Tamandua tetradactyla: one gene and its partner. The main gene of each other region encodes a partner of the protein of the gene in region 2 in a complex. Links are inferred from orthologs where the notes say so. Each region holds a gene or a part of one and is shown on either strand. Other genes may lie near its edges. The genes, in order: GPIHBP1 and LPL.

Region 1 (11,192 bases), on a different chromosome or scaffold from region 2:
GGGGAGATGGCCTGGGTTATCAGGGGGACCCCAGGGCAACCACAGGACGGGGGTATTTGACCATGGAAGGTGAGGCTTGGAGCAGCGCCCTTGGAAGGAGGAGCCACGTGGCAGCTCCAGAGGCTGAAGGAGGAGGACTGGGGTATCCCTGGGCCCACGAGACTAGCTGAAGGAAGGCCCTGCCCATGCCTCTGACCTCCAGAACTGCACGAGGCTCCACTGGAGCAGTTTTAACACCACAGGATGGGTGGTGAACTGGCCCCACTCTTGGATGTCTGGGTGATGCCCAGTCAGGATGCATGAGGGGGCCCCAGGATGCTGGGAAAAGAGGGTGGCACTGAAGCAGAAGCCCCAGGGTAGGCTGTACCCCGGCTAAGGTATGCTCCATACAAAGAGCCTCAAAGAGGGAGGGCCGTTGTTAGAGGCCAGGCTTGGTGGACTCCTCTGGCTTCCAGGGGTGTGGAGGGTGTGGATCTGTCTGCTGAGACCTATGCAGGGCTGCAGGCAGGTGTTTGGAGGGTGTTTTTGTGCAGGTGAATGACAGCATGCAGTATGGCTGTCACCAGGCTTCCTCTACTGGTGAGGAACCCAGGCTGCACAGGAGGTACTTGCTTTAAACACAGGTACATGTGCTGGTGAGCGGGGCCGTCACAGCTCTGGGCTACACGAGTGTCTGTATATTGGGCACTGAGTGCCAGGCCTGGAGCATGAGGCCTTTCTCACTGCAGGCTTCCAGGGAGGGGCTCCTATGACTCCCCTTCAACAGAGGGGGAAGTGGTATGCGGAAGTGGGGGAGTTGTGGGGCTCAGATTTCAATCCAGGCAGCTGTGCTCGAGTGTGTGTGGGTTTGGTGAGTTTGTGTAGATATGCATGTGTGTGTGTGTGAGGGTCTGTGAAGATGTAAATAACAGACAAACCCCAGATAACATTGGTTTCAATGCAGTAGACGTCCTGAGGTAGGCAGGGCAGGGCTGGTACAACACACCCAATCATCAGCCATCCAGGCTCCTTCCTCCACGCTGCCCTACCACTTTTAGTGTGCTACCTCATGGCCCAAAAATAGCTGCTGAGCTCCAGCCACTGTTCAGCCAGCAGGAAGGAGAAAGGGGAAGAAGAAAGGTATGCCGCCTCCATTTAAGGAATGCGTCCCCCCCCCCCCGCCAGGCTTTGGATTTTTATTAATAAGGAAGAGGGGAGAATGGATAGCAGAAGGCGGCTCATTGCCTCTGCCATAGAGGAGAGCAGTCAGATGCGTCCCTGGCTCACATGGGCCAACTGGGAAGAACCTGGCCGGCAGGATAGGACTCTGGACTCCCCAGCCCACAGCATGCTGAGCTAATGGGAATCTAAGGGTCCTCTAAGTGTTTCTCATTGCTCAGATGAGAAAACTGGGGCCCATGTCAGAGGCTGAGCTGTGGCCGGATCTTGGCCTCCCACTGGGGCTATGCCCCGCAGCTGCTGCTGGTGAAAGCAGTGACTGGTGCAGCCAGGAAAGGCACATGCCCAGGAACCAAGCACACCAGCCCAGGCCAGTGGAATCCACAGGCTCCTCACCCAGCACAGGAAGCTTCTGCCTGCCCCCTCTCCCTCCATTAACTTCCCCACCCTCTTCCTCGCCCCTCAGGCTGCCCTGGGCCTCTCCCTCCTGGAGGAGGGGTGCAGAATAAAGCCACTTCTCCCCTGACCACTTGGAGGTAAACATAGTTCCCACATTTGGGAAAGAGCAAAACTTCGCCAGGCTCTCCAGTTGTGGAGAGGGGAATTTCTTTGGCAGGAGGTCCAGGGAGAGACCCTGGGGCAGGGTCCCCCAGCCTGTGTCGCTGGACTTGACAGATGGGGAAACTGAGGAAATGTAGAACGGGGGTGGGGAGGAACCAGTACTGGTCGGATCATTAAAGGAGCTGCAAGTTTATTCTGCGAAGCTGGTGGGGGCGGGACCGCAGGGAAGGAGCCCTTGGCCAGGCCAGGATGGGAGCAAAGAGGCGGTGAGGGGAGCAAGGCGCCGCTGGGGCGGGTCTTCAGGACCCCAACGCCCGCAGGGCCGCGAGGAAACCGAGCAGGAGGGCTGTGCCCACGGCGGAGAGGCTGCCCTTTGGGCCCCCAGCCCCGCTGCCCAGCGGGTTCCGGGCTTGCGGGCTGTGCCAGGGTGGGACGTTGCACAGTGCGGACTGGCAGCAGGCCATGGTCAGCCGGGTCTCCGCTATGGTCTTGGTGACAGCAAGGCACGTGTCTGCACACCACCCCGAGTAGGTGGTCAGGAGACCCGACTCTGGGCGAGAGGGATGGAGATGAGTGCTAGGGGGCCGGGAGGGCCGAGGTAGCTGCACGACCAGGACCGACTTGAGTCCCTCAAAGAGGAGAAGAGGGACCCGGGCGGCTCACTCACCGGTGTCCCCGCGGGACAGGAAGGTTTTGCAGAAGGTCTGGCCGAGGAGGCAGTTGCGGACCTGATCGCAGGCCTCTCCCTCCCGTAGGGACTGGCAGGAATAGCACTGCAACTGGGCTGGGGGGCGGGGCGCGGTGGGTCTCAAGAGGGGCGGGGCTGGGGTCAGAGCGGGCGGGGCGGAGCTCAGGCGGGGCGGGGCCTGGACGCGAAGTGGGCGGGGTTCAGGCGGGGCGGGACTAGGGGCTGAGCCGAAAGCATCCGGCCTGGAGGGCGTCCGGCGCCCTTGGCTCGGGGCGGACGGGCTACCTCGGTCCCTGGCGCCCGGGATCTCGTTGGCCTCGTCGTCGTCGTCGTCGTCGTCGTAGCCGTTCAGCCCGCCGTCGTCCTCGTCCTCGTCCTGCTCCTGCCCTTTCCCTGACCGTGTGCAGGGACGTCTGTAAACCTTGGCTACCCCGGTACAGGGAACACAAGCTCTGGCCGCCCGAGCGCCGCGCCCCCGGGGCCCCGGCCTTGGCCCCTCCGTCCCCCTGCGCCCTACAACCGCCCCCTCCGGCCCCCTGCGCCCTCCGCCCGTCCCGCTCCTGGCCCCCTAGGCCCCCTGCGCGCTTCCCGCGCTCCGGCGTAGCCGCCACACCCGGTACCGACTCCTGCGCCCCCGCGCGCCTTGCGTGGCTGCGGCCTCCTACGGAATAGAATAGAAAATCCAGGCCCGGAGGGCTGAGGGGAACCCCCCCTTCCCTCCCAAAGCTCCGCAGCCAGGAGAGGCCGCACCTGGGTCCTGCCACGCAACCCGCCAGTTCCCTGGAGCTAGGGCGGGTGGGGGTGGGAGGGAGCGGGCGCCCTGGACCCCCAAGGGTCTGGGAGGTTTGGAGAGCGGACAAGAGAGCCCCCATCTACCACCCTCTACCCGGGGGAGCCCAGCTTCAACCTCCTCTTTTCCGATGGGGGCTCTCTCCAGGCCGGGGGTCCCCGCCCCACGCACCTGGCTCTGCGCACAAAATCAGGGCGAGCAGCACAGCCGCGAACACCTTCATAGTTGCTGGAACACGGCTTCCCGGCCACTGGCTGGGCTTTCGCCAGGGGCTCTGGGTCCTGGGGGAGTGGGACGAAGGGCATTGCCTGAGACCAGCTTCCCGGCGCCCCCACCCCGCCCTGCAGGGCCCTGCTGGCTCAGGCTTCAGACAATGGGCCTCCCTCTGGCCCCAGCTCCAGGCACCAGGCCAGGGGCTGTTTCCCTCCTGGACCCCAGGGGCGCCTGAGGGGAAGGGGAAGTTGTTGTGATGGCCTTGGGGTATCCTGTCCACCTGTGAGACCCTGTCCTAAGGTCTGGTCAAAGCTCTGGACACATGGCCCCCCATGGGGCCAGGCTCCCATGCCTCAGGAGTGCCCGGTCGCAGATGCTCTGGGCACAGAGAATGGACCCAGGTGCCTTGCAAGCTTGGAGTCAGCATGTCAGCATTTCAGGGTGTGTTTTAAGAGCATTTTAAATAAAAATGCAGAAACTGCTTAGTCTGTCCTTGCCACTGTGCCTCTCCCGTCTGCTGCCTGCCTCCCAGCTGCCCTGCTCACCTCGTGGTGCCGGGTCCTGGCTGTCCCCTACGCCTGGGATGCCCTTTCCGCAATTGGCCACATGGTCTGTCCCGTGGTCCCTTTCTCAGAAAGGCCGATCCCTCCGGGGGCTGACATGTACGCACCAGTCTAGAGGCTGCATGGTGGCGCTCACCCATTTCTCCTTACAGCCCTAGGGCCTGGAGCTGACCCCCACCGGCTCCCGTGGGTGGAGGACATGAATGCACCATCCGCCATTCCCAAATCCCCCCTGTGCCCCTCACTGCAGACCTATCACTTAGCCCTATTTCACGTGGGGGAAACCGAGGCCATGAGGAGCAGGGATTTGCCCAGCGCCTGTTGGGTACCTGCCAGGGAGCTCTGTCCCTGCTGGCCTGTCGAGGTTGTCCAGGGCAGCCCCACCCCGTGTCGCTGCTCCCTCCTCCTGCTGCCCCGCATCTGCCTCTGCCTTCTGGATGAAGGTTGGCTGGGGGACAGCAAGGGGGAGGGGCCGGGGTGTAGGGTGTGGGCCTGTGAAGGCACTGTTAACCCCACCCTTCTGGCTCTGAGCAGTGTGTTGTGTGGGAGGCCTGGGTTGACAGCTCCCCAGTTCTCTCCTGCGGGTACCCCGGCCTCCAAAGCCCCGAGATGCCCCCTGCCGATTCCCCAAGGGCAGTGTGCTGGAGCCTGGAAGCAGAGGTTTAAGCCCGGTTGCTGTGTGCAGGCCTCATGGCTTGGGCCTCCCTTGAACCTCCCAGGCCTCAGTTTCCCCCATGCTTCCCCGTGGAGAAGAGGCTGAGCTGGACTGAAGAGCGAGGCTGCCTGGCTTTCACCCGGGTCTCCTCTCTCTAACTCTGGGTGCAAGACCAGCCTGGGGTTTTCCAGACCTCAGCTTCTCCCAGGGCCATGACCACTGTGGCAGTCCCAGCAAGGGCTTGGGGTCCTTCAGGATGGGATGACACCTCTCAGAAATCTTGGCAAGCCGTGAGTCTCCTATCCCTCCTCCATGCTTCTCAGATCTGTCCAGGCTCTGCACCCCGTGGCCACCCGGCTGCCCAGCCATTTCCTGTCCTGGTGGCCAAAGTCGCTTGCCCAGCCCTTGTCTCAAGTTCTTCCACCCCCCACATCTTCATTCCTCCTGGCCCAATCCTAGCAGACCCCCGGCCCCTCCTACAGGTGCTTAGACCCATGAGCACAGGAGCACCTCTCAGGAACCCCCAGCTCCCCAGATTGCACTGACCGTCTGGGCTCCCCGGAACCCTGGGGGAGCAGGGGTGGGTGTGGGGTGAGTCTATTGCCGCTAGTCCTGGGCCCAGCTCCGCAAGCCAGTGGTCCTGCGGGAGCTGCCTTGTCTCAGGTGCACACTGCCCGGCCTACCCCGGGGCCTGTGAAAATCTAGAAATAATAATGGCAATATTTAATTCATTAATTAAAATGGTTTGCATTGATTCTCCATAGCTCTGAGGATGGGTGGTCTCTCTTATCACTGCCTTCCAGACCATGGGCTGAGCCACCCACCCTGGGACCCACCCTCACCCCCATGGCTGTGTACTCACGGCCCCTGGGTCACCCTTCTGCATGGTGTCCACTGTTACCCCTGCCTCACCTGGTGCAGGCCCACCCAGGACAGGCCGTGGGGGTCTGGCTAGACCAGGGCTGGTGACTCACCCATGGGGGCAGGCTGCGGGAGACTCTGATGACAGTCCCCTGGTCTGCCTCTCCTGACCCATAGCAGAAATGCCTGACTGTGTGTAGGCCCCCTGCCCCTTCCCCATGCAGGTACCTGGGCGTCCTCTTAGAGGCTTCTGGTCACAGGGCTGTCCCCTGGTGGTGCCTCTCTGCCCCCAGGCTTCTGGACACAGCAGTCCAGAGACCCCCTCAACTCTCAGGGCAGGGCTTCAGGGGGACATAAAGCCCCCAGGGCAGGCCCGTGTACCCCCAGAACCCCAGCAGTCGGGCTATCTACCTTATAAGCCCTGCTGGCAGGCTTGGCTCTTAGCTCCCTTAAAGGGCAGCCTGGTAGCCCCGGCTCTCTGCCCTGCAGACCCCTGGGCCGCTGTGACCTCAAGCTTACCTGCTCAGCCCAGCTGGCCGGGCTGGCTCCCGGGGGTGGCCTTTGGGCTGCTGTGTCCACCACCGGGCCTGGCTCCCCGACCTCGGGCACCGGCGTGAGTCATGCTACTCTTTCTGGCAGCCGTGGCCTTGGGCTTAGAGCTCGGTGCCAGCTGTGGACAAGGGCCGCTGCTGTCCACACTCCCTCCTGCCCCTGTGGCGGGCAGGGTTGGTGTCCTGACAAGGCTGGGCCGGGATGCTGGGAATATAAGGTCCCATCAGGGCTTCCATCTCTTCCCCTATTACCCTGCTCCCACCCTGTGTTGGCCTCTGGGGACAGCAAGGTGACTGGGACCTGGACTTTGCTCTGCCATCCCTGAGGAGGTAGCTTATGCCTGGGGGTGGGTGGGGGATGGGGTATCGGGGGGGCTTCCTGGAGGAGGGCGCGTGGGTCCTGGGATATGGTGAATGGTATTGGCTTGTGGGGAGGGGGCGGCTGTGAGTGAGGATAGGCCGCCCTCCCACCTGGCGGGACGCAGGCAGTGGCAGCTGGGGCCTTTTGGCTCCTGGAGGGCAGGTGTGGGCTGCAGGTTAGAAACACTTTAAAAACGGTGAAGTGAAACGCCGTGTGCAGCTGCATGAGAGAACAAAGCTGTCAGTCCTGAATCAGAGAAACCTTAAGTGGGTAATGCACAGGGCACAAGGGTGTGGAGATGCGTGAAAAGGCAGGAAGTAAGGACTGCATTCATGTTGTGTCTTCATAAAGGGACTCTGCCACCGCTGGGCTGGCTTCCTGTAGTGTGTGTGTGGCACCACACTGTTTTATTTCAACCCTCAAAGAACACAAGGAGGTGACAGCTTCTGATGCCGATCCGTGCAAGTAGTAAGAAAGGAACAGAAAAAAATACTAACAACCAAAGGAAAAATCGTTAAAACTCATGTCCAAGGGGGTGCTTGGGCAATATTGGCAGGACAGTGCTTGGAGCTTACCCCCCAACTCTGGCAAAGAGCAGCCACGTCTTCTGAGAGTCCACACGCCGAGTCACTGTGCTGCGCCGGGCTGCAGACTTTGTCGCTGACCTGGGAAGGCAGCCGGTGCCGTGTGCGCTCGCAGCAGCCATGAGAACCGGGACCAGCTTTCCAGGAGCGCGCCGGGAGTCGCTGCTGGTCCCAGCCCTTCTCTTTACCAACCTAAAAGTCAAGTTCTGATTGGGATTTCTCAGCCAACCCAGCACTCAGAGGCTCCGCCGGCGGCTCCGGTCTCTCTCTTTTTTCAATTGTTGATAACAGTTTTATTTGTAGTAGCAGAAAGCTGGAGAGCATCTAAATGAATATCAGTTGGGAAACTGATTAATAATACACCGTGGTTCATTCATAGAAAGAAATATGCTACAGTACAAAAAAAATGAGTCAAAATGGATGAATCTCACTCATATCATTTTGAGTAAAAAAGCAAGTGCATTGGGTGGGCCACGGTGGCTCAGCAGGTAAGAATGCCTGCCTGCCATGCCCAAGGACCTGGGTTCGGTTCCCCGTGCCTGCCCATGTAAAAAAAAAAAAAAGCAAGTGCAGAAGCTGACAGTATGACATTATGCACATTTGATTTTTCACTTAATTTTTACAAATATTTTTATTGACAAATCTTTATACACAGACATTCCATACAGGGTGTACAATCAATGGCTCACAATATCCTCACATAGTTGTATATTCATCACCATGAGCATTCTTTTTAGAACATTTGCATCACTCCAGAAAAAGTTAAAAGAAAAGAATTCATAAATCACATACTCCTCACCCCTCCCTCTTATGGACCACTAGTATTTCCATCTACCCAATTTATTTCACCCTTGGTCCTCCCTATTATTATTTATTTATTTACTTTGGGATGTCCAGGGTCCATATTTTTTTTAAACTCATCTATCCATACCATGAATAAAAGGAGCATGAGACAAAAGGTTTTCACAATTCCATGGTCACATCGTAAAAGTTATATCTCTCTACAATCATCTTCAAGAATCAAGGCTATCCAGTTAGCCATTTTAAAGACAGTCCTTCGCCCCACTGTTGGTGAGTGTTTCATCTGAAGCATGAGATCAGGGTTGGAGCAACAGTGGCTCAGTGGCAGAGTTCTTGCCTGCCGTGCCAGAGACCTAGGTTCAATTCCTGGAACCTGCCCATGAAAAAAAAAAAAATGGGAACACATAAAACATGGAATCAGGTTCTGCTTCACATGCAAAAACAAGGCTGAGTATGTTTAGTAGTGAAATATATGTATATATGTTTGTGCTTTTCTTTTTTTTAAATTTTTTTGTTAATCAAAAAAAGAAAAGAAATTAACATAACATTTAGAAATCATTCCATTCTACACATGCACTCAGTAATTCTTAGTATCATCACATAGATGTATGATCATCATTTCTTAGTACATTTGCATCGATTTAGGAAAAGAACTAGCAAAACAGCAGAAAAAGATATAGAATGTTAATATAGAGAAGAGAATTAAAATAATAATACTAATAAAAAAATATATATATATAAAAAAGGAAAAAGAAAAAAACAAAAACAAAAGATACAAACAAACAAACAAACAAACAAAAAACTATATTTCAGGTGCAGTTTCATTCAGTGTTCCAACATAGTTACATTACATTTAGGTATTATTGTGCTGTTCATTTTTGAGTTTTTGTATCTAGTCCTGTTGCACAGTCTGTATCCCTTCAGCTCCAATTACCCATTATCTTACCCTGTTTCTAACTCCTGCTGGTCTCTGTTACCAATGACATATTCCAAGCTGATTCTCAAATGTCGGTTCACATCAGTGGGACCATACAGTATTTGTCCTTTAGTTTTTGGCTAGACTCACTCAGCATAATGTTCTCTAGGTCCATCCATGTTATTACATGCTTCATAAGTTTAGTCTGTCTTAAAGCTGCATAATATTCCATCGTAGGTATACGCCACAGTTTGTTTAGCCACTCGTCTGTTGATGGACATTTTGGCTGTTTCCATCTCTTTGCAATTGTAGATAATGCTGCTATAAACACTGGTGTGCAAATGTCCGTCTGTGTCTTTGCCCTTAAGTCCTTTGAGTAGATACCTAGCAGTGGTATTGCTGGGTCGTAATCCATTCTGCCAGTCTATGTCTTTTGATTGGGAAATTCAGTCCATTAACTTTTAGTGTTACTACTGTTTGGATAATATTTTCCTCTACCATTTTGGCTTTTGTATTATATATATCATATCTGATTTTCCTTCTTTCTACACTTTACTCCATACCTCTCTCTTCTGTCTTTTCGTATCTGACTCTAGTGCTCCCTTTAGTATTTCTTGCAGAGCTGGTCTCTTGGTCACAAATTCTCTCAGTGACTTTTTGTCTATAAATGTTTTAATTTCTCCTTCATTTTTGAAGGACAATTTTGCTGGATATAAAAGTCTTGGTTGGCAGTTTTTCTCTTTTAGTAATTTAAATATATCATCCCACTGTCTTCTAGCTTCCATGGTTTCTGCTGAGAAATCTACACATAGTCTTATTGGGTTTCCCTTGTATGTGACAGATTGTTTTTCTCTTGCTGCTTTCAAGATCCTCTCTTTCTCTTTGACCTCTGACATTCTAACTAGTAAGTGTCTTGGAGAATGCCTATTTGGGTCTATTCTCTTTGGGGTACGCTGCACTTCTTGGATCTGTAAATTTAGGTCTTTCATAAGAGTTGGGAAATTTTCAGTGATAATTTCTTCCATTAGTTTTTCTCCTCCTTTTCCCTTCTTTTCTCCTTCTGGGACACCCACAACATGTATATTTGTGCACTTCATATTGTCATTCAGTTCCCTGATCCCCTGCTCAAGTTTTTCCATTCTTTTCCCTGTAGTTTCTGTTTCTTTTTGGAATTCAGATGTTCCATCCTCCAGTTCACTAATTGTAGCTTCTGTCTCTTTAGATCTACCATTGTAGGTATCCATTGTTTTTTCCATTTTTTCTTCTTTGTCCTTCACCACCATAAGTTCTGTGATTTGTTTTTTCAGATTTTCTATTTCTTCTTTTTTTTCAGCCCATGTCTTCTTCATGTCCTCCCTCAATTTATTGATTTGGTTTTTGAAGAGTTTTTCCATTTCTGTTCGTATATTCAGCATTTGTTGTCTCAGCTCCTGTATCTCATTTGAACTATTGGTTTGTTCCTTTGACTGGGCCATATCTTCAATTTTCCGAGCGTCATCCATTATTTTCTGCTGGTGTCTGGGCATTTGATCAGATTTCCCTGGGTGTGGGACCCGGCTGGTTGAAAGGTTTTTCTGTGAAATCTCTGGGCTCTGTTTTTCTTTTCCTGCCCAGTAGGTGGCGCTCGTGGCGCTCGTCTGTCTGCGGGTCCCACCAGTAAAAGATGCTGTGGCTCCTTTAACTTGCCAATCCGAATCTCGCAGTCGGCCGGGAAACCGCGCGTGGAGAAGGGGGGGTGTCGCCGGCCGCAGTGGCTTGGGGGAGTGCCGGTCCAAATTGCCCAGCTGGCCCGAGACGCCAAGCGTGGCGGAAGGGCCCCGCTATCCAACGTTCCCAGTCAGACCGGGGAGCCAAATGCGTGGAGGGGACCCCAGTCGCCAGCCGCTCTGGCCGGGAAAACGCGCGCCCCTCGGGTATCTCACCGCAGCGGATTCTCCCTGCCCGTTCAGCCGTTCCAGAATGGGGTACGCTGTCTTTTTGGTCTCTGTCGTGGCTCCGGGAGCTGTTTCGTATTGTTTCTGTTTCTTTAGTTGCTGTTCTGGAGGAGGAACTAAGACCCGCGCGTCTTACTAAGCCGCCATCTTCTCCGGAAGTCTGTGCTTTTCTTTTAAAGAGACAATTATCAATAATAATCAAAGAGACATTTAATAATATTGCTTCACAAGTCCGGATCTTGCCCCCAGCACCCGCCCCCCACCCCGCCACCAGCTGCCTACCTGACATGAAGCTGAGGCCCTAGGAGAAGCTTGCCCACCGGGGCTGTGGCCGGACACACCTACAGGCTGTGGGTGCTCCGGCCTCTGTGTCCCGAGCTGTCCTGTCCCACGCGGACCCCTCTCACAGCTGGGCTCCTGCTCCCTGTGCACCTGGTCACACCTCCAGGCCGCTGCACAGGTCCCAGGGGCCCTGCCCTGGGGATGGCCATTCTGGAGCCCGCTTGGTCCCCAGGATCCTTGGAGTCCTTCCCAGGCTGATGCTCCCCACACCAGC
Region 2 (10,874 bases):
CACATATGAATTCATTTGATGCCAAATTTTCTCTAATATTCGGAATAAACTTCCACCCTACTGAAAAGAAAGGTTTAAAAAAAACAGGCTTGGATATGTGTGTTACAATTGCCCAGTTAATTTAGACCACTGAGTGTGAAAAAACAAGTGGAAGCTATCACTGCTCAAAAGGGTACTGTGAATTGGTTAATAAATATTTTGATTGAGTGATACGTAGGCATATTTAAATCAAGAATTAAAAAATTGAAATACAAAATTCTCAAACTGTTAATCTGAAATGACTTTCTTCTCATTGATAAAGAGGGCAAACGGAAGCATCCAACTGCCTCAAACTAAACACAATCAGAGCCGATGATATGTGTGTAATAGTTGTTTTACTTGCGGGAATCTGGGTAAAAGATATGGAGTATATTCTGTTCATTGAAATGTAGACGCTAAGCATCATGCTATTTTTCATCTAAATTGACTCTGAAAACCAACATTTTTTTCAAAAGTACATCACTGATTTCAAGACAGTTATATGCTTGAGTGGAGGGCTGTTGAGAAGCTCTCGATTCAAATCCATTCACCTGTATTCACCACCACCCATCCAAAAAGTCCAAGTTTTCATACTATTTTAAAGCTTCTGCAAACGTATATATTAAACTCAAAATTAACCCGAGCCAGAATAATATTTCTAAATTAGAGTGTAGCCATACCAGTTTGGGCTTCTTTGTTCTATTTCACTGCCAAATAGTAGTGGGGCCATTTTCTTTTATTCATTTAAAGAGTCTAAATTACAAAATTATCTGATATAAATTTTGAACTTTCTGAGAGAATAGATTGTGAAGAGCAAAGAAATAAGTGGCACATATTTAAATATGTATCCCCAACTCTGCCCCCATCTCTCTCTCTCTCTCTTAAACTAAGGTGAATCCATTTTTTCTTTCCTAGTAAATGTTTATTTCCCTCTCTAATCATATCTGACATTTATTGAAAACCCAAATGGTGTCAAGCACACAGACATGTTTTAAATGGCCACAGCCAGCAATGTACAAATTTATAATTAGGTGAACAAAGACTCTTCAACAACAAATCTCAAACCTAGTCTCTGAGTGAGCTTGGGTGTTCTATCATATTTCCCCTTCAGAAACTAACAGAGCCTCCAAGTTTTGCAAAGAGAGAGTGTGATTAAAGCTACTTTTGACAAAGATTCATTCCCAGAGACTTAAAAAGTCTCTGTTGATAAAAATTGTTTAGTTCACTCAGGTGACAAACTATAGAAAGTGAATACAACTAGCCTGAAATTTACAAAAGTTTTACACCTGAATATTTGTTGCCATAAAAGTTGGGAAATGCATTGAGTAAATTCTGCAACAGTATTTTCATTCAGACCTAAAAGCTTGATACTTATGGCTTGAATAATTTTCTTACACTGTGTGATCTAAAGTCAGCATCAGTAATCATTTTTTTTTTTTTAACATGGGCAGGCATCAGGAATCGAACCCGGGTCCTCTGGCATGGCAGGCAAGCATTCTTGCCTGCTGAGCCACCGTGGCCCACCCAGTAATCATTTTGATTGCTAGAACAGCTTCACATTGAATGCAGGGGAATATGAGGTGGGAACAGGTGTTCGTGAGAAAGGAAACCAGTGGTAACATATTGTATGTTTCAAGGCATTTTCTGGAACAATCGACATAATAGAGGCAGTAAACTATATAGCCCATTTTTTTTCTCATACATGAAGCAAAAAAAATAGAAGTCTGGGCTAAAAATAACACTGCTTAAAAGTGAAAAATTTCCCTTGCAACTCTTCCCCCGTGCCTGACTCCCACTTTTCAGTACAGCTATTAATTAGTCACGCCCCTGCTTGCTGAGCTCAACTTTATGAGAAAAGTGACATCTGCTATTATGTTCTCATCACCCATCATGTTTAACTCAGATGTTGGCCTGAGAAATTCACTGTGGCCAAATAGGACCACAGCGACTGAGCATGTACCCAGGTGTCCCTCTCCCAGCAATTCAAGTTTCCATCTGGGGATGCAGAGAGATTGTGGTGGCTCCCAGAGCAGAGAGCTCGAGGGAAGGGCCTCATATCCTCATCTTCTTCTGGGAAAGAAATAGAGAATGAATGAATCAAGTAAGGGTCCAATGGAGATGCTACCTACCATTTCTCCACACCTGTGCCTTTCCCATCCTGAAATTCTCAACTTCCTGAATGATTTCATTTGTTGGAAAAGGGGAGGAAAACTGCCTTCTCTGGTGGGAGAGGCATAAATGGTTGTGGGGTGGAGGTTGAGTTGGGGGTGGGGGATGAGAGGAAGAAATTTCAAGTTAGCAATGATTTCTTCCTTCATGCATTATCAGCCAGGGAAAGCACATGTTGGTTAAAATCACTTTAATTAACGTGTCCATTTTAATAAAAAGTTAAGAATTAGGGGGGCCTTAGAGAATGTTCAGTATAGTTCGAATGCCTCATTTTTGAGTTAAGGAGGCTAAACCCAGAGAGGTGACACTCACTTGCCCAAGAATTTAGGATTGTGAACCTAGAAGAGAGGATAACAAATCCTAAAATGTGGATGACACATGCTCATGTGAAGCTTCTGGTAAAAATAACATTGTACTATGGTAAACTTTAGGAAATAAGAATTTGGAGTTCATTCTACCATCATCTTGGCCAGTGTTAAACACTATCGAGGGGAATTCAATATCAAGATACTTAAGACTTTCTAACTGACCTAGTGTTCTTAAACTGATCTGACAGAAAAGATCATTGTAAATCTTTCCATCCCATTCAGCAATTAATGGGATTACATTTTTTTTTAATCTAACAAAAAATCTCTTTCACAGCTCAATGCCAAAGTAAAATAAGCTTTCAGCTTGCAAAGTCATGGACAAACTCGACTATAACTTGAGCCGCTTTGGACGTGCCGCCTGAAAGCACATCCATCTACACCACCCTAAGTGGAATCGCATCAAAGGAAAAAGAAAATTTGCTTCAATTGCCTCTTTAGTTGCTGTTGTATTTTACGGGAACCAAGGTTCAAGTTATGCAGACTGACTCTATGGCGGGCTGGGCGCTTCTTTTTCCTGCAATAAAGGAAATTGCACCTCGCCTCAAATGCCCTCACTCGCTAGCTGGCGGCACTCCAGCTCCAGATCGCCCAGTGCCTCCCTGCGGCGCCCGGAGGCCCGACGTGTGCGCGGTTGCACCGCCGCACTGGGCGCGTGGCGCTGGCCTCGGCTAGAAAAACTTATGCAGACGGGAATAACCTGTGCAGCCCCCAAGTCGCTGCTGACATCCCCCAACGCTGCTGGTCACTGCCACGTTTTCAGGAGGGTCAACTCTCCTCTAAGAAAAGCAGAGCGTGCAAGAGTGGATCTGGAGACTTTCCCCGGCGTCCTAACGCATACCCGACGCGGCATGACCAGAACACCGCGCCCCGCGTCCCCACTACCCCTCGGGAGCGCAAAGGTTGCTAGAGATCACTGGTACCCTGTGCTTCCAAACTAGCGACAGCTCCTTCCACCCTCCCCAGGCCGGCTCCTCCAAGAGAGGGTGGCACTTTCCGTTCGCCTGCCACTGGCGGTGTCTGAGCTGCCGCCTCCGCCAAGCCGGGGTCACCTTGGGCTGCGTGCCTTTTATCCCAGCCCTCTCCCCCCGCCCCCGGCACGGGGAGTGCTGCGGGTCACGCCATCCTGGCCTTTCCCCTCCCGGGTCCCACCCGTCACACCCCCGGGCCCTCCCCCGCCTCTGCCCGCCAGTCCCTGAACGCCGAGCCAGCGGAGCGCACCGCGCGGGAACCCGCCAGAAAGAGAAAGCGGGAACTCGGAGCCGACCCCGTAGAGATCCGAGGGAGAATTCCTTCCCTGTTTTTCCCGACCCCACGTCCGTGGCCCTTCTTGGGTTCCCTCCCGCAGAGGGAGTCCCCGGTGCGCATCCCCAGCTCCTTTTAACATCTTCTTTCCCATCTTCAGAGGGCGTGGAAGTGGTCACGGAGACGCATCTGCAGGTGGAGGGGAGAGTGCCTGCAAAACTTACTGTCGGCGGCGGCCACCCCGCCGCGGGAGGCGATCAGACTCTGGAGCCACACGCCCAGGGCCACCAGGAGCAGGGCTTTGCTCTCCATCTCCGCGGCGTCCTCTGTAGGAGCTGCGCCGCGCGGGCTGGCGCGGACCGACCGACTGGCGGGCTGAGCCGCAGGAGGGAGAGGGCTGGAGCGGCGGTTTCGCGCGGGGCAAGTCTCCCTTTAAAGGGAAAGGCTGGGCAGCTAGAAGTGGCAGGTTTCCTCTGGGGAGGAGGAGGAGGAGGAGGAATCGAGTCTGACACTGTTCCCATTACAGGGCTGTTTATGTGACTGGAAATATGCAAATAAACCTCATCACCTATTGGCTATAAAAGCATAAGTTGGGGGGTGGGGTGGGCCCTAAATCCACTTCCAGATATTTGAGCAAACTGTAATGAGGATCGTCTTTGCCAGCGAGAAGAGGGGGAAAGGGCAGCAGGGAAAGTTTGCTTTCCTTTGGGTTCCTGTTAGCTTTCCCTTAGGAGTCTGGCGCTCCAGAGCCCTGTACAGAAGCATCCAGCACAGGTTTTTATCGATTTATGTTAAATATTATACTTCTGCCTGTTCACCAGTTTTCGAAGGAGAGGAAGTTAGGCTGTTAAACTACATTTGGTCAATACTTCAATCCATTCATTTAGTGGATCCTGTTTGTTAACTTGCACAATTTGTTTTCTTTTTCTTTTTTTTCCAGAATCCTCTCGGTCACAATGTTACTTTAGGGACCTATGGACACACATTGCTATGCAGCTGTGCTTGCACAATCTAATATTTTTTTAACACTGCCAAGTTATCTGTTTAACGTGGTTGAGAAAAGCCTATTTAACTAGTTTTTGTTTTTTGCCTCTTGTAAATTATAACCAATCCTCAAACTCATCAAGGAATGCAAGGATGCATCATCTGATCCTCAGATGCAAAGTGCCTGGTTCCAATAATTTAAAAGTGTATTGAGCTATGCTGAGTGAAAGAAACTGTTCACAATAGACAAAGATTGTAGAATTATATGGATGTGAAATGTCTGAAATAGGCAAATATATAGACATAAAGTACATCAGTGGTTGTCAGGGCATGAGGGATGAGTGAGGGGGGGGCATATAGAGTGCCTGCTAATAGGCATAAGGCTTTTGGGGGAAGTGATGAAGTATTCTGAAATTGGTTTATGGTGATAAACTCTGCAAAAAATTGAAAACCATTGAATTGTGCATGTTAATTGGGTGAAATTTATGGTGTATAAATTATATCAATAAAGCTTTTTAAGAAAGTATACTAAGATATCCAAGTAAAATAAGAAAAATAAAATCAGATTGGATAATGTGATTTTCTGCTGAAATGCTCAAAATACTTCCAAATATACTTTTTTGTGGGGGGAGGGGGAAGTGCAGGGTTCGGGAACCAAACCTGCGTGTCCCACATGGCAGGCGGAAATTCTGCCACTGAACCACCCTTGCACCACCTCAAATATACTTTTAAATGTAAAGGACTGACATTAGTCAGGAAGGACAATGAACTCTACCCCCCACTCCCCAGTTTATAGCTGAAAAATTAGAATCCCCAATCTGTCATACTGGATTTAAATATCTTTAATGCTTCTTTCTACACATCCCTACACACACACACACACACACACACACACACACAATGTGTATTTGTAGGTGAGAAGACAGAAAGACCATACAATTTTAATTAGTCTCATATTTTGAGTTTCTCTCAAAAAATAAAACCTGATACACCCAAATAAATGAAGAATTATTATTCTGTAGAATAGTGTTCTGTCTTTAAACTGACATGTTCAGTGCTGCAGCACAGTGTATCATCTGGCATTGCAGCTCTTAAACAATATGTCGTGCACACTCATTTCATCCTATGAGGCATGTAGAAGAATCTTGGAACCTGCCAAGAATGAAAGACCTCAGAAGAACTTTCAAGCGGCAGAACAAACCATGCAGGGCACAAATAACTATGACAGTCCTCGAAAAAATTTGCATAGTAAATTCTAATTTTAAAAAGGACGTACGATAAGTACGGTTGCACTGAATGTGCTCGTGGTACAAAGGACGTATAAATCCAAATGCACAAATGCATACCATTTCATATGGAATAGAAAATGCAAACACTTTCATGCACACATATCATTTGCTAGGACAACCAAACGAATCTGCACTCCTGTGCTTTTCAGAAACTTCAAGGGGGGATTTTATGTAATCAATAAAGGGAAGTCTGGTGCTTATAATGTATTTTAAGAATGATTTCCCAAGTTAACAGTTAACAAAATTAAACCAACTCAGAGTCGGCGGAGCTTTAAAAAAAAAAAATGGAGATAGTTTTAGAGTGACCTGTGCTCTAACTGTGCATACCCGTTAGAGCTGCAGAGATTTCCAGGAAGAATTAACCCAGAGCCGCTCAGCCTTGCAGAGAAGCAACCAGGCTGGGTGCGCTCCTGGAAGCAAGCGATGGGCAGGTGGGTGTGACGGCAAGGCCCTCTCTTGATTGGCTACTGGGGGGGGGGGGCGAGCAGACGCCCGCGTGCTCCCCCAGAAGTTCACATGATCTGTCAGAAGGACGGCAAGTGCTTTAGAGAAGGGCCTCTTCCAAGCTTCAGCAAGGTTATTTGGTCACGGGTAACTTGGGGCTTAACTTTTCCATTAGGACATTTCCTTTGTAGCAGGCTTACAAAACTTGACGCTTCAAAAACTTTTAAAAGCTAAGCTTTTTTATAAATGTCTAACTAAGCAAGTATCCTTAAAGCAGGACCTCGCTGCGGTGTAAGTTAGAAATGATGTAAGTGAAAAATTAAACGTGTGTACACACTGGAAACTCCGCATGTGGGAGGTACTATCTATCTATCATCTAATTCTTTCCGTCAGTCTATCTATTGATATATTTATCTGTCATCTCTCAGTCCTCTAAATATTCATTTTGATTGAGGACCTGCTATTTTTCACGCACGATTATGGGCCCTTTTCATTTCATTCTGCATTTAATCATTACAAAAACCACTCTGAAGTGAATAATACCCCCCATTGTATAGATAAAGGGAGATGAAGCTCAGAAAAGATTAAACAACAATAACCACAAATCTCAAAGTGTTTTTTTCTTTGGCAATCCCAGGAGAGAAGGAAAATATAGTTGCTGTGCTATATTTTAATGTTACTGTAATTGCAAATCAAAAAAGGCTGGGAGGCAGATGGTTTTTGTACAAGCATATTTTAGTACTGATTTTTAATTTTGTGGCTTTTTTTTTTTTTGCTAAACTCTATGACAAGTGGGCCCCAAAAGTGTCAGTACTGAAGTGAATCTGGTCTTCATCACAAAGAATTATATTTGATGTAGAATAAAAAGCACAGCTAATATAAAGAAAATTGAAGAATATGAAACCATAAATTTAAATAGTATGTAAAATCTATGAAAAAAAAAAACCAGAAGGGTAAGAGAAAAATGTTTTCTAAAACGACAACAACAAACAAGATATTTACTAAAACTGTCATAAAGGGCTTTTCCACTACAACCTACCCACAGCCCAACATTAAATTCTGCACAGGGAGGAGCAGAAGGCAGATCTGTAAACAGCCGGTGCTCTGACGGCAGGGCTGAGGCTGGCAGCTCTGGGTTGAAGGCAGAACCATCTAGTATCTGAAGCTGGAGCTGACCCAGATGAGTGGAGGTGCTGGTCTGCAGAGCCCTTCTTTTATCCATTACCCAACAAAGCTTTTTTTTTTTTTTGCAGTAATTCCAAGTAGATTAGTTCAGGGAAGAAGAAATTCAGACAATACAGCTCTCCCTTGGCAAAGTTGGGTGTCCCAGAACAAGGAAAGCACAAATAGTTATTGCATTTAGCCAATTTCCTACTAACCCCTCTCCCCATTAGGCTTGAGTTTCAAGAGCACCTTTTGACTTTTGGGGGGTATATGGAATGTGGGGATAACTGCTTCAAATTTTCAAGGTATGGCCTGAAATAATTCAGACACATTTTAAGAATTTTCGTCTTCTTGAGTTGAGAATATTAATCCTCTTCCTTGATCCCCTTCCACAAAAAAAACAAAGAAAAATAAACAGAGAAATCGCATTTCGATATCAGCACTAAAATTTTTTTGAATAAAGTTATGAACAATAAAAAATAATTTTCAAAAAGAGGAAAGAAAATAAAAGTCAATGCATTTGCATGGCACAGGGCTATATGGTAAATGGGAAAGACAAAACATACCAGACAGACAGACACAGTGGAACTGCAGCAAGGCCAAGGGGAAGAGGGAAGCAGGCCTTTACTAGAAAACAGTCTACAAAATCTAAAAGAATGTCCCATAGCCCAATGGATTTATAACCCACATTTGTTCATAAATAGATACCAAAACACAGAACAAAAAAACTTAAGTTCGTGTAGGAGATTTAAAAAAAAGACTTTTTGTGTGACCTATTTAATGAATTGAATAGTCGAGAAACCGATTTGTGTGTGTGTGTGTGTGTGTGTGTGGATGGGCTCACATTCGCAGAGGATGTGTTTGAGGTGCCCCCTGCTGATCTTCTGGTGATACTGCAGCATCTCAAAAATACTGGCTTAAAAGGCTTGAAACAGAATTGACTTTATATATAGTTATTTGATCATTTCTCATTTCATTCATTAAGATATAAGTAACTTGAAGGAAGATACCCCAGTGGTACTCCCCACAGCATCTCACAGTGCTGGGGAGCTAGACAATTCTTTGTCAATATTGTTGGATAAGTTAATAGCACTGAGTGAAAGATGACCCAGTGAGAAATGGGGAGAAAGCAGGATTCTGTAAAGTTTTTCTTTTAAAATTCCACTAGGTTTATTAATTATAAAACTTCAGCTAAAGACCTACAAAAATACGCACACACCTACACATTTCCTCCCAAACATCTTCCTTGCGGTCTATTCTAGTTAAGCCAAATCTGGGTGTAGGGAAATGGAGGGCCATATTATTTGATGGGAACATTTTGCTGGCCTCATATATCTTTTTTTGTCTTCCATTTAACTCTTTAGTTAAAAAATGAATAGACTTTTGATCTACCTCCCCACGCCCCAAATGTCCAAGCAGTGCAAAACTAAATTAAAGTCTTTCTCTGACCTCTAATCCCATTTCCAGAAGCAGCTACTTTTCCCTTTGTGTGTATGCTTCCAGAAAAGTCAATGCATATAAAGCATAGCTGTATTTGTAAATGTGTGGATATTCATGCACACATACATATTTTTTACAGTAGGTTGCCATAAGCACTGTTCTGCAAGTTTTTCCTATCAATATGTCTTAGAGATGAGCTCATACCAGAAGAGTCCCTTTTGTTTTTTCTTTTAATTTCCATGTAATATTCCATTGTATGGTACACTGTCATTTATTAAACCAGACCCCTATTAATAGTCATTTAGGTCTTTTTTTTTTTTTTTTACATGGGCAGGCACTGGGAATCAAACCTGGGTCCTCTGGCATGGCAGGCAAGCGTTCTTGCCGCTCAGCCACCATGGTCCCATTTAGGTCTTTTGACAAAACAAGCCATGCAGTAGTGAACAAAGGTCAAGTCTTTGAAATTATTGAATCAAAAGGTATGAATATTTATCATTTCTATAAGCAAACCCAACTTACACTACAAAAAAAAACTGTGCTAATTTGCATTCCCACCTACAGTGTTTAAGAGCGAGTGATTCTAAACATCTTGATCATTACCACATATTTACTGACCTTTTTAAAAAAATCTTTACCAATCTAGCAAGTGAATATGGTCTTTCATAATTTATTTTGCATTTTATCTAGTAATAAAAACAGCTAACCTCATATAGCACTTATTATGTATCTGGCATTATTCTAAGAATTTACGTATATTAATCCATTAATGTTTATATTAAATCTCAGTGCAGAGGCATAATTTTACTAAGATATGAATCTCTTTCCATACAATTTACCCACTTAAAGTTTACAATTCAATGGTTGTAGTGCGTTCACAGAGTTGTGCAACCATCCCTGGATTTAGAACATTTTCATCAACACCAAAGAAACTCCCCAATCCATTAGCTGTCACTCCCCTTTCCTCTCTACCCCAGGCATAGGTGTCTTTCTATCTCAGTGGATTTGCCTACTCTGAACATTTCTGTGAATGGAATCATACCATATGAGCTTTTTTGTAACTAGCTTCTTTCACTTAGCGCATTTCCAAGGTTCATCTGTGCTGAAGGACATGGCAAAACATTATTCCCTTTTATTGCCAAATATTCCATTGTATGGATATATGCCACGTTTTATTTATCCACTTATCAGTTTGTCCCACCTTTTGGCTATTATGAATAATGTTGCTTTAAACATTCGTATGTACAAGTTTTTGTGTGGAAATGTTTCCAGTTCTCTTGTGAACATACTTAGGAGTGGAATTGCTGAGCCATAGCAATTCATTAAATCTTTGTTTTCTTCTTTGAGGATCTGGGGTACTGTCTCCTCCATGGCGTTTTCCAGACTTCCCTTTGAGAGTTTGTCACTACTCCTTGTGCTGCAATTGTATTATTTACCATCTTTCTATTGCATGAGATTGTGACCCCATAAAGGAAGGAAAGAAAGAAGGAAGGGAGGGAAAGACAGAGGGAGGGAGGAAGAAAGGGAGGGAGGGAGGACGGAAAAGTTTGAAAAGTGGAACAGTATATACTATAAAGTAGTTACATTTATTCCAAAAGCTTCTCATTTTCTATTTTCCTTGGTAAAGTAGTTAAATATAAGAGCCAGAATTAAAAGGATAAATTGAAACTTTTGAAGTCTTAAAGAAATTTATATATAAGTGAGCGTGGTACTATGATATTATTCATAAGTGAACTAATGCAAATATAAGAAGTCAGAA

Evidence for each region.
Region 1: the proteins of LPL (region 2) and GPIHBP1 are in contact, whole or in part, in a crystal structure (PDB 6OAU), measured with the Homo sapiens proteins. The link is inferred for Tamandua tetradactyla from reciprocal best matches to the Homo sapiens genes LPL and GPIHBP1. Residues at the interface, in NP_000228.1 of Homo sapiens: Tyr367, Gly368, Thr369, Ala371, Glu372, Glu374, Leu403, Met404, Lys406, Lys430, Lys440, Ile443, Cys445, Ser446, Arg447, Glu448, Val463, Lys464, Cys465, His466, Asp467, Ser469; in NP_835466.2 of Homo sapiens: Cys68, Lys69, Ser70, Leu92, Ala94, His95, Gly96, Asn97, Thr98, Glu99, Ser100, Leu103, Thr104, Thr105, Ser107, Trp109, Cys110, Thr111, Asp112, Ile117, Lys119, Val121, Glu122, Thr124, Val126, Met128.

Annotation. Positions count from the first base shown.
Region 1 is NC_135332.1:83,688,187-83,699,378, forward strand, and holds GPIHBP1 (glycosylphosphatidylinositol-anchored high density lipoprotein-binding protein 1), read right to left. Parts: upstream 4,358-11,192; 5' UTR 4,114-4,357; coding exon 3,956-4,113; intron 3,479-3,955; coding exon 3,369-3,478; intron 2,801-3,368; coding exon 2,693-2,800; intron 2,504-2,692; coding exon 2,387-2,503; intron 2,270-2,386; coding exon 2,019-2,269; 3' UTR 1,893-2,018; downstream 1-1,892.
Region 2 is NC_135329.1:20,509,672-20,520,545, reverse strand, and holds the start of LPL (lipoprotein lipase), read right to left. Parts: upstream 4,302-10,874; 5' UTR 4,110-4,301; coding exon 4,022-4,109; intron 1-4,021. UniProt on the Homo sapiens protein: Key enzyme in triglyceride metabolism.